Caenorhabditis elegans: one gene and its partner. The protein of the gene in region 1 purifies or fractionates together with the protein of each later gene. This does not show direct contact. Each region holds a gene or a part of one and is shown in the gene's direction. Other genes may lie near its edges.

Region 1 (5,116 bases):
AATCAATGTTGCAATCTGAAAAGTGAAAATCAGCTAAATCAGAAAAAAGGAAACAACTTACGTTGAGAGTTTAAATATATAAAAACCAGCCGTTCGCACGCGCTGAAGCGCGTGCTCCGACTGGCGTACTCAAAATTAAAATCAAATTCTGAAATTTCTGAGCCTTTCTTTGCAGATGAAACGTTTTTCCCTGTTTTCCGGAAGTTCTCGAGCAACATAAATATCTACAAACTATGGAACAAACGGCCTTCATTCCGAGATGACAAACTTTTTGGTGGCAAAGGTTCTTTGGGGGCATAGTATCCAAGGAGACAAAGTATCCAGTAGACAAACTGGGGTGTATCTTGGGGGGCATATCTTTGGTGACAACCTTTTTTTCAACTAGATTTTTATATGTATTTTTCAACTAATTTTTGTTCACATTTTTCTGGAATAAGTTTTTTAATGCAATTTTCAATCGATTATCGGTTATAATTCCCTCACAATTAAATGTATGAACGATGGTCTTTTGGGAAAAGCTGTAAAAGGTCCAACTAACTTGGAATATCGTGAGGCTCTTCCTGATGGTCTGATCCTTCAGCTCCGAGGGATCACATAGGTACCTTCTGATGTTCTGATCCTTCAGAAAAGAAGGATCGTAAGGGTACCTCCTGATGGTCTGATCCTTCAGCTCCAAAGGATCACGAGGCTCTTCCTGATGTTCTGATCCTTCAGCTCCGAAGGATCACATGGGTACCTTCTGATGTTCTGATCCTTCAGATAAGAAGGATCGTAAGGGTACCTCCTGATGGTCTGATCCTTCAGCTCCAAAGGATCACGAGGCTCTTCCTGATGTTCTGATCCTTCAGCTCCGAAGGATCCGACGTCATCATCTCGAAGAATCTTACGATATTCCAAGTTAGTTGGACGTTTTACAGCATTTTCCCAAAAGATCATTGTTCATGCATTCAATTGTGAGTAGTCAAGGCCGAAAATCCATGGAAAATTGCATTTAAAAACTTATTCCAGTAAAATATGAACAAAAAATGGTCAAGAAATATATATAAAAAAACTAGTTGAAAAAGTTTGTCACCGAAGATACGCCCGGTCAGAGACAAATGGCACTTTGTCGACTGGATACCATGTCACTTTGGATACTTTGTCCCCAAAAATACCTTGCCACCCTAAAAGTTTGTCCCCTCGGAATGAGGGCCAGTTACCAGTGGCCATAATCGTGTGATTATTATTTGGGATGTTCGAAGTGTTTGCTCCGCCCTTTCTGGATCACAATAGACAATTGCTTCTTCTACTTCTTGAATGTCTCATAATTCTTCTTATTTTTATCTAATTTATTGCTTCTCCTTTCTATTTTGTATATTAACTCCCAAAAACGCCCATTCTTCCCCAAAACCATCTAAAACTTACCAATATTTCCCGATACCCCTGACAGGTTATCCTGAATAATGATTGTGATTCTCAAATTTCTTCTAATCCCGTTAATTCCCCAAATATTCGAATGTAACTTTTTTTGGAATTTTTTTGTTTTCTAGTTTATAAATAAACAATATGTTTGAAAAACAATCGTAATTTGCGTTTTAGATGGTTAAACGGTAGGAAGCTTAAGCTTCCTACAACATCCAAATACAATGCAATATTTTCTGAAATTCTAAATATCAAAACATCATCCGGAATATGGAGATTTAATGCAACTCTATAGAGGTTTATGGGGACTTAGTCTTCTGGAAATTGAATTATGTGATTATGAATTAATTTTAAAAAAACCAATCCCAATCATACGATCGTCGACGACGATCGTCCCTCGCGTCTCGCGAGAGCCAACTGGTTATAGCTTTTCGGGAGGTTTAAATGTTTTATCAATTTTATACGGTACGGTCTGGAATATTCCACAATTTTTTATCTGTTTTAACAGAGAATATCTCTCCATGGAGATGCTAAAATTTTGAGAGATAAATAAGCAAATCGCATTGTTTGAAAATTTCAATTTGGATACGGTAGACAATGACAAAGTACGCAAACACCAGAGTATGTGACACACTTTCGTCATTCTCAAATTCAATTTGAAATATTATTTTCTTATTCCTATTCTCTATTTTCTGTGAATTGATAGTTTTTCTATAAGTAACCATTCGAATAAAATTATCAACTAATCGACATGGACCAATCAAAAATGCGCTATACAAATCAGTTCAGAAAAGTTGGTTTTCAGCCATTAATATTGATAAATGGCCTAAATTTTACAGACTCCGCAAAAGCCCACATCTACAGAGGTTGGAAATCATCATACTCCCGCACATTCGCCGATGGCGCAGCATGAGACATCAATGTGGAACTTCAACTCTCTCAACCCGTATTTCTCAATGCTCAATATGAACGATGGGATGAATTATGCTCGCCATCAACAGAATCACATTGTTACATCGCGGCCACCAACCCCGCTAACTGATTTGATGAGCCTCCGGAGTTTTCAGAGCTTTGTAAGTTAGAGTAGCTAATTTTTGGTTGTTTTCATTACTGATTTGCAGCCCAATGTGTTCATGCCGGTCTCGCGTAGCCGAACTTCATCATTCATTCAGTCTGATACGGATTCCTCGCGTCTCGAGCCGGACGATTTTTCACAAAATGTCCGATATTGCTCTACCGAGATTGATCGTAACAATAGTTCTTCGAAAAATGACCATTTGAAATATTCGAGGTTCGAATTAATTTATCACTATCCTCAAGTGTTTATTCTGTTTTATTTATAGACCCGCTCTATCGAGGAACTCTAGATCATTCACAAGATCAAACAATGTGCTGCCAACCTGGTCCTTGGATTCCAATGGTGAAATGCGTTCAAGATTGTCGCTCTCTGAAGTTTTGGATAGTGGCGATTTGATGAAGTTTGCCGTTGACAAAACTGGGTGCCAGTTCCTCGAAAAGGCCGTGAAGGGCAGCCTGACATCTTATCAGAAGTTCCAATTGTTTGAACAAGTTATTGGGAGAAAAGATGATTTCCTTGTAAGTTTTAGTTTCTGCGAGCACACACGACTTTTCTTTTCAGAAATTGAGCACGAACATCTTTGGAAATTATTTCGTACAAGAAATCATTGGAATGTCATTGACAACTTATGATGACGACAACATAAAGCGACAAGAAAAGTTGAAGAACTTCATCAGTTCCCAAATGACAGATATGTGCTTGGACAAATTTGCGTGTCGTGTTATCCAATCCAGTCTCCAGAACATGGATTTATCCCTTGCGTGTAAACTTGTTCAAGCTCTACCTCGTGATGCTCGTCTTATCGCAATCTGTGTTGATCAAAATGCCAATCACGTCATTCAGAAAGTCGTAGCTGTCATCCCACTGAAGAATTGGGAGTTTATCGTGGATTTTGTTGCAACCCCAGAGCACCTCCGTCAGATTTGTTTTGATAAGTATGGGTGCCGTGTTGTGCAAACTATAATCGAAAAACTCACTGCTGATTCAATAAACGTTGATTTAACTTCCGCTGCTCAACATCTTCGTGAACGAGCACTCCAACGCCTCATGACTTCTGTGACTAATCGGTGCCAAGAATTAGCTACGAACGAGTATGCCAATTACATAATACAGCATATTGTATCCAATGATGATCTGGCCGTATATCGGGAATGTATCATAGAGAAATGCCTCATGTGAGTGTTGTTTAATATATATTTGATTTTTAATCATTAATATTTCAGGCGCAATCTTCTTTCGTTATCCCAGGAAAAGTTTGCGTCTCATGTTGTAGAGAAAGCATTCCTACATGCACCAATGGAACTTCTTGCTGAAATGATGGACGAGATTTTCGACGGATACATGCCACACCCGTAAAAATTTCGTTTCAGTCACATAAAAATTAAATTGTTTTTCAGGGGCACTGGAAAAGATGCTCTCGATATCATGATGTTCCATCAATTCGGAAACTACGTCGTTCAATGCATGCTGACTATTTGCTGTGATGCTGTGTCTGGAAGACGACAAACGAAAGAAGGGAGCTATGACCATGCAAACTCATTCCAAGTTTGGCTCAAAAAGTTGCACTCGAGAGTTACGAAAGAAAGGCATCGCTTGTCAAGGTTATCACTATTGTCACAATAATATTTTGAAATTCGAATTTCAGGTTCTCATCCGGCAAAAAGATGATCGAGACGCTTGCCCATCTCCGTTCAACTCATCCGATTTATGGACTCCAATCTTCGGGACATGAATCATTCAAGACGGATTGCTTCAGTACTGCTTCCGAACACGATGGTCTAGAGTTGGAGAAGAATGGAATCGAGGAAGGTAACCTGAGGCTCATGCGAACTTTCTCACCATAAATCTCATCCCACCCACTTATGTTCTGTTGTTTTGTAATATTTTAAACTGTTGCAATGGTTTCGTTTCGATTTTAAGATCGATGTTGTGCCATCCCCACCCTTATCATTGCCCAGTTTTGTTTTTTCTTTTCTTTTTTGTTGTTTTATTGCTTTTCATGCAGTTGTGTTATTGTTTCTTTCTGTTTATTGTTCATTGTTTTGTTTTTTTTTTTCGAATTTAATGAATCCAGATAAATTTGGACACGAAAACTCTAAAAATTAAATAAAATTATTTCAACACTAAAATAATTCATTACGCAAAAACAACAAACAAATTATTCGAAGATTTCCTCTCGTTGACGCCAGGTAGAGTTGGCGTCGTCGTTCTCCATGTAAACCATTGATGTTGGAATTGTGGGGCGAGCCTCCACGCCTGGCGGTGGTCTTCTCGGTGCGAACATCATCGACCCACCAATCTCCTCTTCGACTGAAAACACAGAGTATTTAAAATAAAATGAGAATGAAAGGTAAGTTCCTCCCAATTACTTCAGTAAACTCGCCTTTTTTAGCCTTAAATTTTCCGCAGTTCACCAATACGGCAGCAGTGAGAATAACAGAACAGACGAGAAACAGCATCTGTAAATAAATTTGATTTCAATCTCTACTCTTCAGCACTTATACTATAAGTGTTGTACTTCTATGAGTTTCATTGGATAAGTGTCTATTCGGAATAGTCTCGCTGCACTTTATTCTCTACAGTAATCTTACATTAGAGTATACGCGAGAAATGGAGAGTGCTGCGAGAACTAGAATG
Region 2 (3,833 bases), on another chromosome or scaffold:
TTGTACAAAATCAGCGAAACCACCACAACTCCGGCGGTTTCGGGCGTATTTTTGACCTTTTCAACGATAGCATCCGGCATATGAAGCCATTCGAGCAATGAAATCACATCAACTCCACTTTTAACCACCAAATACAATGCGATAAACCATGCTGTACACGATGCCGCGTGAGCCGGCACAGCGATATACCAATATCTTTTAAAATAATATTTCACTTTTGCGAACAACGTTTTCGGCGCTTCTTCCGCCTTCATTTGCTCGATTTTCGCCGTTTTTGCGAGTTTTTGCTCCTCAGACATTGTCATTCTGAACATTTTCCATTTTTGATCGTCTGGCTTCTTCGGAGTGGGCTCTTTCTCGTGGAGTTGTCGACTTGTGTGCAGGAATCGTGAGCTTGATGGGGTCTGGAATTGAGCACAACAGATGCTCCGCGAGCATCGGATTATGGATCGAGCCAAAAGCATTTTGCCTGAATGAAAATTTTGGCCTAAAGGGGGTCTTAAAATTATCTAAAGTAAGTTTCCCGGGGATTTACACTCTCAACTCTTTAAACTTTTTTTTACGTCAGTCTAGCAATTAAATTTCAATTTATGGCTATTTGGGGGCTACTGAACTTATAAATACACGAATGGGGTGGAAAAAGGGGCAAAAATCAATAAATTACATTTTGTATATATAAATAAAAACAAAAAGAACAAAAACCCAGCACGCAAACGTGCGTTGACCAGTAATTTGGGGATAAAAACAATGATATTTAGTGGACAAGTTCGGTCTTTTGACGAATGGCGTAGTAAAGGCCAATGACGACGATGATGACGGCGACAGTCTCGGAAGAGATTGGAGACTTCGTGGCGAGACCCTGCAAAAAATGATTTTTAAAGATAATTATGTGAAAATGATGCAATTCTCACCCCATGGCTTTGTTGAACGGTGAAGAGTGGCTTGGTGACAGGGTTCTTGGCGTATTGAGCGGCTCCCTCCTCGTCGAAAATGTTAATATTAAAGGTTTGAGCTCCGGCGTCCTTGTGCTCAAGAGTCCATGAGACTTGGAACTTGGCGGTCTCGTCGGAAATCGAGACTGGGATAAGGCGACCGTTTACTTCAGCAGTGTATTGGATATTCTTCGGGTTGTTGCTGCATTGAAGTGTGAACTCGGTGATGAAGGTGGTTTTGTAGTGGAAGAATCCGTCGGTAGTGGAGAATGACGAGGCCGAGTACTTTGGCGACTCGCACTTGGCGCCTGGAATATTTATTGTTTTATTTGTATTAAATGTTAACAATCTACGCTTAAAATTCGAAAAATCGAGCCTTATTTTTATACAAGCCACACATTTGAATAATTTGTGTGGGAATTTATTAATTTTTCCAACTTACAAAGAGCGGAAGCGACAAGGCAAAGGGCGACGGCGATCTTCAGCATTATTACCTGCAAAAAAGTAATTAAATTCGTGTTTTGAAGAATTATCTTGTAAAATGAGTAAAATAGGCATTCTATACGTATTTTACTCGAATTTGCATCATTTTAACGCACAAAATTCATGTTTTTAGGGTAAAAATCAAGAAAATAAGTGAAAAATTCATTAAAAACACATTTTAATTCACTAAAACGATGTTTTCTCGACAGTTTCACGTAAAACAAACTCACTTGGCAGCTAGCCAGTTTGCAGTTCTCTCCCGTTCGCTGCGAGACCCACACCGCTGGGAAACTCCATGCGCCTTTAATGCCGATCCAAAATCGATCGTTCAAGAACTTCTTTTGCGCTTCAAAACTTTTGCAAACTGACTTTTTCTCCCGTTTTTCTGCTTTAAAAGTTTGCGGAAAAATTATTTTATTTATTTTATAAGCTATTTTCGATTTCTGTCCCATAAATTCGTTTAAAAAAATCGAAAATAAAAGCGTTCACTCTAAAACGAAAATTCTAGTTCCAGATATCATAAAAATGGCTTCTAGTAGCAGTGGTGGAGCAGGTGGAGCAGGTGGAGCAAGTGGAGCACCAGAAGTCAAGATTCACAACGTATATATGTCAAACGTGGAGGAGGAATTCGCGAGGATTCGAGGATTCGTCGAGGTACAGCCGATCGTTTGAATATTTTTAAAAAATCGGTTTTTTTTCAGGATTATCCCTACGTGGCAATGGACACAGAATTTCCCGGAGTTGTGGCGACACCGTTGGGCACATTTCGAAGCAAGGAAGATTTCAATTATCAGCAAGTGTTCTGTAATGTGAATATGCTGAAATTAATACAAGTGGGCTTTGCAATGGTCAATGACAAAGGAGAGCTACCACCGACTGGCGATGTTTGGCAGTTCAATTTCAATTTCTCCTTCGCTGAAGACATGTTCTCGCATGAGAGTGTCGAAATGCTCCGGCAAGCCGGAATAGACTTCACATTGCTGCAGGTTTTTTTAATATTGATTTTCCAATATTTTAATAATAATTTCTTTCTTCCAGAACAATGGAATACCGACAGCAGTATTCGGAGAACTTTTGACGACGTCAGGCCTCATCACTGATCCACGGATCACATGGCTCACGTTCTCTTCCGGCTACGACTTTGGATATTTGTTGAAAAGCATCACACTTGGAGATCTGCCTAAGGAAGAGTCAACGTTCTTCATGTGCCACAAAACTCTCTTCCCAACCAGCTTCGACATCAAAATCCTGCTCCGAACTCCAAATTGCGCGTCTGCAAAGCTGAAAGGAGGACTTCAAGAGGTCGCCGATCAGCTGGACGTGAAACGACAAGGAGTTCGCCATCAAGCTGGATCCGACGCACTGCTGACCGCCGCCACGTTTTTCAAGATCAAAAAGCAGTTTTTCGGAGACAACTGGAACCAGATTGCTCCATTGATCTGTGGACATATGTTTGGTCTTGGATCTTCGCTTTCGCTGTTCCATAGCTCCGGATCAACTTCTCGACTAGGCGATGAGACACCACAAGGCCTAATCGGAGTTCCACAACAAGCCTGAACAGATCTCTTTCCCGTCATTTTTCATGTGTCTATTTCTTTTATTTTTTTCTTCCTTTTTCCACCAAAAACCGTCTACACTGTTATTGTAAATTAGCTGTCTGTTTCGTGCCCTTCCCCATCTCTCACCCAAGTTTTTTGTGTTTTCACGCGCCCTATAATTTGTCTTTGTTATTATATCTCCCTATACTTGATGACTATACGCTTAGTTGTTTATAGGTGATCATTACTCTGAAAGTTCGATCTTTTTTATTTGTAATTTTCAGCAGCAGTAGAAGCTGGGCGAGATCGGGCGCCCCGTGTATCTTTTTATTTTCATTTTCCCTCCCCTATGCCCAAAAAAATAAAAATTTTCGAAATCTACTCGCGGAAACTTTAAATTTTCAACTAAAATAAGGGTTTTTGAGCCTGAAATTATCTTTTTCAGCTGTTTTGTCTAGATTCAAAGCTTAACAAAAGTAGTATTTCAGCAAAAAATGCCGAGCGGTGGACAGAGGAAGCACACGATTTCGAACAAGACACGTAAACGTCCCGGAAAGGATTTGGATCAAATCCATGAGGATTTGAAGCCTGAAAAGGCCGCCAAGCTTCTCCAGCAAGAGGTTTTTCAGATTTATTACTCGAAATAAACCCTTAGAATTCGCAACACTGCCGCACGGTTGTATTTTAACTGCTTTTCTACAATTTCGCGTTAATTTTATCAGGAAATCTGGCAAATAATCAAATTTTGCTGGAAAAAATGCTAAAAACTCGTAAAATAAAACTGTGCGGTGAAGTTGCAAAACTGCGTGCCGCGGCATTGCGGTGTGTCTCCGCCCTCTAACAAAGTTTCGTTTTTATTCATTTTATTCTCTTTTTTCGA

Evidence for each region.
Region 2: the proteins of fbf-1 (region 1) and ccf-1 purify together in Caenorhabditis elegans (affinity purification with western blotting, with the first as the bait; one study listed by BioGRID). This does not show direct contact.

The regions. Positions count from the first base shown.
Region 1 is NC_003280.10:6,077,757-6,082,872, reverse strand, and holds fbf-1 (Fem-3 mRNA-binding factor 1), read left to right. Parts: upstream 1-2,029; 5' UTR 2,030-2,152; coding exon 2,153-2,194; intron 2,195-2,240; coding exon 2,241-2,474; intron 2,475-2,522; coding exon 2,523-2,692; intron 2,693-2,744; coding exon 2,745-2,997; intron 2,998-3,040; coding exon 3,041-3,654; intron 3,655-3,702; coding exon 3,703-3,831; intron 3,832-3,876; coding exon 3,877-4,080; intron 4,081-4,124; coding exon 4,125-4,323; 3' UTR 4,324-4,610; downstream 4,611-5,116. Other genes in the region: H12I13.6 (uncharacterized protein), read right to left, coding at 4,638-4,789, 4,863-4,938. UniProt on the Caenorhabditis elegans protein: RNA-binding protein that binds to the consensus sequence 5'-UGUGCCAUA-3' in mRNA 3'-UTRs. Involved in the control of stem cells and sex determination in the C.elegans hermaphrodite germline.
Region 2 is NC_003281.10:11,918,328-11,922,160, reverse strand, and holds ccf-1 (CCR4-NOT transcription complex subunit 7), read left to right. Parts: upstream 1-1,923; 5' UTR 1,924-1,940; coding exon 1,941-2,069; intron 2,070-2,116; coding exon 2,117-2,401; intron 2,402-2,453; coding exon 2,454-2,972; 3' UTR 2,973-3,333; downstream 3,334-3,833. Other genes in the region: Y56A3A.22 (DUF1279 domain-containing protein), read right to left, coding at 1-464; trap-4 (Translocon-associated protein subunit delta), read right to left, coding at 755-859, 912-1,240, 1,375-1,420; znf-593 (Zinc finger protein 593 homolog), read left to right, coding at 3,448-3,573. UniProt on the Caenorhabditis elegans protein: Catalytic component of the CCR4-NOT complex which is one of the major cellular mRNA deadenylases and is linked to various cellular processes including bulk mRNA degradation, miRNA-mediated repression, translational repression during translational initiation and general transcription regulation.